Macaca fascicularis: one gene and its partner. The protein of the gene in region 2 purifies or fractionates together with the protein of the main gene of each other region. This does not show direct contact. Links are inferred from orthologs where the notes say so. Each region holds a gene or a part of one and is shown on either strand. Other genes may lie near its edges.

Region 1 (4,422 bases), on a different chromosome or scaffold from region 2:
CTCACCCCCATCAATGCCCTCTATGCAGGAATCATCACTGAGGGAAAACTTCCTTTCCTCTCCAGACACTACTCCACACACAGACAAGACACCTAGGACAAATGCACCATCCTAGGCCCATCTTCCTCTTCCACACAGAGTCAGGAGACCTAAGATCTGACCCTCTCTGTGCTCCCAGCCTGGGTGCTGACTCTCCCCAGGGAAGCCAGAATGGAGGGATTCATAGCCCTCCCAGGCTCAAGAGCCTGTGACTCCCTGCCAGTCCCACCCCTGCAAAACCCCAGTGTCACCTGATGGATTCCCATACATCCCTCAGAGGCTAGCTACAGGCTAAAATGTGTGTTCCCCACAAGGCAGAGGTCAGAGCAAGGCAAGTAAGTGCAAGCTCCTGGCCTGCTGGAGGCTCCTGACCTGCTGGAGCCTCCGCCTGTCTGCACCTGAGCACCAGGGCCTAGCCGGGTAAGCAAGGCTAAGGGTGGGGTGTGTGCAGGAAATCCCAAGAGGAGAACAAAGAAGGGGGGCAGTTCTCAGAGGTAAACGAGTATCTGGCTTCTTCAACTACTCACAGATGCCACCAAGACCCTAAACTCTATACAAAAGCTGAAAACAAAAGTTGAGAAGGACTATGGAAGACCCTGGCACTTGACACCCAAGGGGATGTGGGGAATGATTATACGTGGGGAATAAAGACGGTGCTCTTTACTCCAGAGAGGGATTACCCTGCAAAGCTTTGTCGAAAGTATACAAAGGCACAAATTGGGCATTTGACGAAGACTTTTGATTCTAGCTATGATTTGTGTACACCCAATTTCACAACTTAAAGCTGCTTGGACATAGAAAAGCACAGTATGGGTAAGGGCACTTGCATACAAATGCTAGAAGCCTGGGTACAGACTGGGGTAGATTCCGGAATTGAGGTAGGAGGAAATAGTACCTACTTCTTTGGTCTCTCCTTGGCCTGCCCTCCCCTTTCACTGCCTATGAAGTTGGAGCCTACATCATGTCCCTGAAACTGCACAGAGAAAACTACGACGTGTACCCTTTTAAGTTTACCGGAGACTTGAGATAAAGTTGCCACTTGAGGTGTGTGCTGGGATACCCACTCCCCTCGGCTGGGCTAAGGCGCCTCTCCTGGTGGCTACCACGCTCCAAGGGCACCCGGGGGAGCACCCGCAGCTGCGCCGACCCGCAGTGTCACAGAGAGAAGGGCAAGGAAGGGGACGGGGACCAGGAGCCAGGGCCCCGCCGGCCGGCGCAGCGCGCTCACCTGGCCCGCAGAGCCGGCTGAAGTGGTAGGGGTTGCAGCACACGGTGGGGCCGTCGGCGGCGGCGGCGAAGCTGTGGCAGCCGCACAGTGGCTTCAGCTCCACTGCGTGCTGCAGGTCGGGCCAGCGGAAGAGGCGGCCGAGCAGCAGCTGCGGCGGCGCGGGCTGGCCGCCCAGGCGGAGGTCGGCTCGCGGCACCAGCACGCAGCCGCCCGGCACGCCGCCGCGGGACTCCACCGCCTCCAGCAGCGTGTCCAGCGAGCGCTCCTTGAGCCGCTTCAGCAGCGAGTACGTGACCGTTTTGAGTTCCTGCTCCAACAGCAGCAGCCGCGAGCGCGCTTCGCGACTCCGCCCGCCGCCCGCCGGCTCCAGGGCCGCCCCGGCCAGGGGGTCGCTGGCGTCCCGGGGCGCGCCGGCGGCGTCCCGCTCCGAAAAGAGACAGCAGGTCACCGTCTCGCAGTCACTCTCGGGCAGCCAGCCCGGGCCTCCCGACTCCGCCACGTCCAGCAGGGAGCCCCCAGCGCCGGCCCCCGGCTCCGACATGGGCCTCGGGGGGCCCCCTGCGCGCCGGCGCCTCCCCGCGCCCTGGGCGCCTCGCTGTCCCACTGCGTCCCGGGGCCGCCGCGGGGCTACCGGGCGGACTTCGGAGCGGCCGCAGCCTCCGCCCTCTCTTGCCCGCGGGGCCGGCTCAGCTCGGCTGCCCAAGCTCCCATCCTCGTCGCCGCCACCACCGCCGCCGCTGCCGACTTCCTCCCGGTCGGGGACCACACGACTTCGCCAAAGTCGCCGCACCAGCCCCGAGCGTTTGGACCTGAACATACGATATCCTTTGGCGCCAGGGGTGGGGGGGAGGCGGTCTCCGGTTACCGGGGGTCCGTTCCCTCAGCGAGGCGCCGGCTGCGCGGGTCGCAGCCCCACATGAAGCTCCGCCGCGGAGCGCCGTGCAGACCGTGCACAGCCTGTCGTCGAAGGGGCGCCGCAGGGCGACAACATGAGGGAGCTCGCCAAGGCGGGACGGCCGGGAACACGCGCACGCCGAGCCGCAGTCCGCGCGCGGCCAGCGGCTACATGGACCGCAGCGTCGGGGCTGCTCAACAACTCCAGTCCCCGCGCTTTAAGGGGCTGCAGGCGGCGCACCGCCAGAAAGACCCCACATGGGCCGGCGAGCCTTCAAAAGTTGCGCGGCTGGTCCATGAGCACAAAGCGCTCGCGCGAACCCCCAAATGTGTTTGGAAAGCCCTCCCTTTCCCCTGCCTTATTTTAAACCAAAGCGCTTAACTACATGGGCTTTTCCTGCAGGATCCGAAAGGCAGGCTTGTTGATAACCCCAGCTCCCTTCTTACTCCCTGCAAAAAGAAAAAAAAAAAAAAGGAAAGAAAGAAAAGGAAATCCCAAACAAAACCTAAATCCCTGGATTTGCATGCACGAAAGGCCAACGCCGTCTCAGGTCCCAGGCGCTAGATGCACTTGGAGCGAGTTTCTCCTGGACGCGGGTGTCAACACATGAGTGGAAGCTGTAAAAATCCCAAAGAGCTGCTGGGAATCCTTAATTAAAAATGCAGTCCACCGAGGCAGAGGTCGCAGCCCGCCCCACGCTGCCCTCGGACGCTTCGTGCGCCGACGCTGCCGAGGTCGCCCCCCCTCCCCCCTCCACAAAAGTGCCTCCCGGCGGCCCCGGGGTCCCAGCGAGGTCTGGCGAGGCAGCGCCCAGCGGCTCTTTCTCTCGGATCGGCTCCCTCGATCGCTCCCCTGCTCCGCTCGCTCTCTCTTTTTTGTTCTCCTCAAACGCACACTGAGGGCCCCCGGAGGAGCGCCGCGGAGTCATTGGCTGACTCCCATCATATGCCAGTCTAGACACTTTGGCGGCTCCGCGGCGCTGATTGTTGCGCAAACAAGGTTTCAAGTTTCTTAACTCTTAAAGGAGAACACGTCCCATTGCAGGGCCGGAGGCTCCAAGGGGCCGGCTCCCGGGGCGGGCCGAGCTCTGGCCCCCGCCCCACACCGCCCCGGCACCCCCGCCCAGGGCCTGACAGCTCCCGCGGCCCGCTTTCTGCCTCGCGTTGTGCCCAGGGCACGGATGCGAGCGAGCACACACGCGCCCGCGGACACACACACACACATACACACAGGGTTACATGAGCCACGGGCAGGCGCGCGAGGCTCGGCGGACCCACTGAGACTCGGACGCAAGCGGGGCGCTTTGCCTCTCCCTGGCTTGTGCACAAACTTATAAACACACTTTGCACTTTACAGTTGTTCCAAACCCCCATCCCAGGGCAGGCTAATAAAAATGGGTGTGCGTGTGTGCCTTCCTGGGTTGAGCCTGAGGAGCAGGGGGCGGCGGATATGTTGGGGTAGCGGATCTTCCGTGACTGCACGAGGGGCTCTACGCTCCTTGCACAAAGTTGGGGGTCGCTCTGCCGGGCCAAACAGGGAACTTAGGGCGCTTTGCGCACGGTGGCTCCAGGCTCGCCCCGAGTGGAGAGATGGAGAGGGTGGTGTAGAGGCGGGGAGTGTCTACTCGCTGGCTCCTCTCGGTCGCCACGGCCCTCCCTCGGAGCGAGGCGGGCCGCCGGCCGGCCGGGCCGCCTCCAGGCTGGGTGCTTCCTCTCCCCTCTCCAGTTTACTCTCCGCACCTCGGAGAGGGCTGTAGGTGAGGGATCACGCTTTCCCTAGCGAGGTTTCCATGCGAAAATTAGGGTGAGTTGGGGGCGGGATCCGGGGCGCGGCGGCAGCAGCCTGACGCCTGGCGCGGGAAGGGTTAAGGCCGCTCCTGCCCCTGGAGCCGGCGCGGCGGGGTACCTCCTCGGGCGCGCTAGCTCGTCCGAGGGTGGCAAAAGTTCAAGCTTGTAAAGTCGGGATTGGTCCCGCGCGGAGGGGAAAAAAGGCCTGGGCCCCCCTCCCCCCCCGGGCGCGGCGCCGATTGGCCAGGCCGCGGGGCCGGCACCGCCCTCTCCCCCCGCTCTCGGCGGCCCCACCCCCGGCGCGGCGCCCCGCCCCTTTCCGGGCAGGAGCCTGGCCCCGCGCTGAATGAAAGAAATTCCGCTACTCTCATTGGCCCGGGGCTGGGCGCCATTCTCCCGCGGTGGCCGCGGGGCGCCGGCGAGCGGGTCTCCCTGGAGGGTGGCCACGCGTGGGGCTGGTCTGTGGCGTGCGC
Region 2 (3,809 bases):
GTTGACCTACTCTCCCGGTTATATGTAGCTAGCAGGGAGGGAGTGGGCAGCCTAGTTTCTATAGCGTTTCCTGCTGCCTTCAATTGCTGGTTCTTCCATGACTTGTACAGAAATCAGTGGTAAGGTTCCATAGTTTAGCTGTATATAGTAATTATACCATATGGTATATATAGTAATATATATAGCTATATACATACATAAAAAGTAATACATATAGCTTTGGTTTTGGTTGGACTTACCTGTACACTTGAAAACCTTTGGTGAACAGGGCAGAATGAGGTAACAGATGCGTATCAGAAGAATGTTATCTTGCAAGTAATAGAATCTCCTTAAACACATTGAGGTTTAATTATCTCAGTACAACATCAGGTCTGGGGTAAAAGTCTAAGTGCTGCATTGACTCAGTAGTGTCATCAAGGACCTGGGTTCTTTCTGCCTTTATGCTCTGCCATCCGTATCACACTTCAGGCCTTTTACTTCGTTTATATGGAACTCTACACTGTGGGCCTCACATCCATAGTCTAGGCAAGAAGAAAGAGAAAGAGGAATTGAAAGGGCAGATGGCTCTGTTGTTGCAAGCCCTTGCCTTTTTTACTTAGTGAAGGATGCCCTTACCATGGCCTCTGCCTATACTTCACTGGCCAGAATTGTTCACTCTACCAGCTCAGCTGCAAGGGAAGGGGGATGGAATGATCTTTATGGCCACGTTTCTACCTCCAGCAAAGCAGGGATTTGGTTCTCAAGAACAGGTGGAAGATAAATATTGAGTATAATTAACAGGGTCTGTTACAAGATTATATTCATCAAGATGCATTTACTTTAAGAAATTATTTTTCAGGTAATTATTTTTACATTTGTCATTATTATAAAATTCTTGATAGAATGCTTATATTTTCCTCAGAATATATTTCTAGGTTATAATAAGAATGGAGGCATACATAAAAATGTGTTTTTATGTATGCATGAAAATATAAAAGATACTAATTAAAAGTTTATTTCTATAAATGGTACTGGAGTTGAGTGTTAGTTTTATTAGTGGGCATTTGTTTTAAAGAAAATTGTGATAATTGGTCTATTTTTAAACAAATAATATTGCCTCATTTAAACATCAATTTCCTGTATGTTCTTCTCCCATTTCATCTTCCCTCTATAGTTTAGTATGGAAGGACTGGGAGAGTAAAGTACTGATGCCAGTGTATTATTTTCAAATCATTTTAGAAAAACTAATAATTAATTTGATTAGTTGATAGTCTCCTCTTCATGACGTTTTATGAGCTTTGTGTCTTGGCTGGGAGTGGTGGCTTACACCTGTTATCCCAGCACTGTGAGAGGCCGAGGCGGGTGGATCACGTGAGCCTCGGAGTTCGAGACCAGCCTCAGAAACACGGCAAAACCTTGTCTCTACAAAAAATACAAATATTAGCCAGGTGTGGTGGTGCATGTCTGTAGTCCCAGCTACTTGGTGGGGCTGAGGTGGGAGGATTGCTTGAGCCTGGGAAGCAGAGGCTGCTGTGAGCTGAGATCACACCAGTACACCCTAGTCTGGGTAATAGAGCAGGAAGATCCTGTCTCAAAAAAACAAAGAACTTTGTGTCTTGAAATTGCTACATTTCCTTATTATGTAGATCGATCGATCGATCTATCTATCTATCTATCTATCTATCTATCTATCTATCTATCTAATAATATAGATCTATTTTTGAGATAGCTTCTTGCTCTGTTGCCCAGGTTGGAGTGCAGTAGTAGTGTGATCACAGTTCACTGCAACCTCCACCTCCTGGGCTCAAGTGATCCTCCCACCTCAGCCTTCCAAGTAGCTGGGACTTTAGGCAAATGTGCCAACGTGTCTGGCTAATTAAAAAAAAATTTTTTTTAATAGAGACAGGGTCTTCCAGGCTGGTCTTGAACTCCTGGGCTTAAGTAATCCTCCCACCTTGCCCTCCCAAAGTGCTGGGATTACAGGCGTGAGCCACTGTGCCCAGCCCCTTATCATATTTTTAGAAAATTATTATAAAATGTGATTCTGCCATGCACTTGGCTTATTTCCACTTCCATATTAAAATACTGTTATTTTATTTCTCTCCCCAATCTTTTCTCCAATCAGGCCTCAATGTTAGCTGCAGAAAATGACCCTTATGGACCTTTGCCACCAGGCTGGGGTAAGCCGTTATGTTTTTGCTAATGATCCGTAAGGGAGATATATATATCTCCATATATATATCCCTTATTTTATATGTATATCTCCCTTATATATATCCCTTAATATATACCCCTTATAATATATAATATATATTATTATTTATATAATATATAATTATTTATATAATATATATTATATATAGAATAGATTATATATTGTATATATTCTATAAGACATATAAGTGATACATATATCCCTGATATATTTTTTTATATATTTATATATAATATATAATATATAATCATATATATATTCCTTATTTTATATATAGATCCCAAATAGTTATTAAATATTATGGTCACTTTATATTTCAGAGAAAAGAGTGGATTCAACAGACAGGGTTTACTTTGTGAATCACAACACAAAAACAACCCAATGGGAAGATCCAAGAACTCAAGGGTATGTATATACAGCAGCCTTAAATCATCTTGCATATATCTGTAGGTAGAATCAACCAACCTTGAATGAGATATTTTTAGTACCTAGAAAATGTTCATCTTGTGATTTTAACTTTATCTTTTAGCTTACAGAATGAAGAACCCCTGCCAGAAGGCTGGGAAATTAGATACACTCGTGAAGGTGTAAGGTACTTTGTTGATCATAACACAAGAACAACAACATTCAAAGATCCTCGCAATGGGAAGTCATCTGTGTGAGTGAAAACCTGAGGTTCTCCTTTAAATGTTGCTTAGTGAGCACATGAGAGTTAGTCTCTAACTTATCCTCAAGTTTAGAAAAATATTTTACTTTTTGGTTCAAGAAAACCTACACAAGTGATACGTTAGTATAGCTGTCTTTGCTCTCATTTGACGATGGATTTGCAGCATGTCATTCCTTAATAATAGCAATGGCAACTATTTATGTAGTGATTACTATGTGCCAAGGATTGTTCTAAGTACTTCATAGGTATTAACTCATTTTATCTTCCAATAACCCCTTGAGGTAGATACTATTATTTTTCTCTTTACCAAGTGAGGAGAGATACAGGGAGTGTAACTAACTGTGCAAAGTTATAAGGCAAGTAGTGGAGCTGGTTTCTAACTATGACAGTCAGTCTGTCTCTTGACTCTGTGCTCTTAACTGCCACATGACACTGCTGCAATGAGATGGTCAGTGAAATGATTTTCCAAATTTAAAGATAACTGAATTAAGCAGTTGACAGATGTCTCCTTCATTCTTACTCTAAGGTGTAATGTCTTTGCATAACTAAGAAAGTAGAAGCAATCATAAAAGGTCTTTTGCAAATTTGTACCACCATATCTGTGCATCTCCTACCACCTCTCCTCCCTCCTGTTCTGTAGATGAACTGTCATTGTTATTATCAAAGTCTGCTCCCTCTGCTGGTACATTCGATTCCTACCACCACTTTTCTACTTAATTGCTCCAACAGTTACCACCTTTGTCTTGAATTATCAGGTTTTATTTCTCCACTAAATTATTCTTATCAGCTGTTATTTCTCCTAGATTTTAAAAAAAAAAGCAAAAAAAAAATTACAACTCTACCAAACCAATGTGTTCGATTACACAGTTCATTTGTGTGTGTGTGTTTTTTTTTTTTTTTGAGATGGAGTTTCGCTCCTGTTGCCCAGGCTGGAGGGCAATCAATGAT

What was found.
Region 1: the proteins of WWP1 (region 2) and SMAD6 purify together in Homo sapiens (affinity purification with western blotting; 3 studies listed by BioGRID, with this or other methods). This does not show direct contact. The link is inferred for Macaca fascicularis from reciprocal best matches to the Homo sapiens genes WWP1 and SMAD6.

Annotation. Positions count from the first base shown.
Region 1 is NC_088381.1:43,376,564-43,380,985, reverse strand, and holds the start of SMAD6 (mothers against decapentaplegic homolog 6), read right to left. Parts: upstream 3,060-4,422; 5' UTR 2,085-3,059; coding exon 1,268-2,084; intron 1-1,267. UniProt on the Homo sapiens protein: Transforming growth factor-beta superfamily receptors signaling occurs through the Smad family of intracellular mediators. SMAD6 is an inhibitory Smad (i-Smad) that negatively regulates signaling downstream of type I transforming growth factor-beta.
Region 2 is NC_088382.1:96,181,976-96,185,784, forward strand, and holds part of WWP1 (NEDD4-like E3 ubiquitin-protein ligase WWP1), read left to right. Parts: intron 1-2,104; coding exon 2,105-2,159; intron 2,160-2,514; coding exon 2,515-2,599; intron 2,600-2,723; coding exon 2,724-2,852; intron 2,853-3,809. UniProt on the Homo sapiens protein: E3 ubiquitin-protein ligase which accepts ubiquitin from an E2 ubiquitin-conjugating enzyme in the form of a thioester and then directly transfers the ubiquitin to targeted substrates.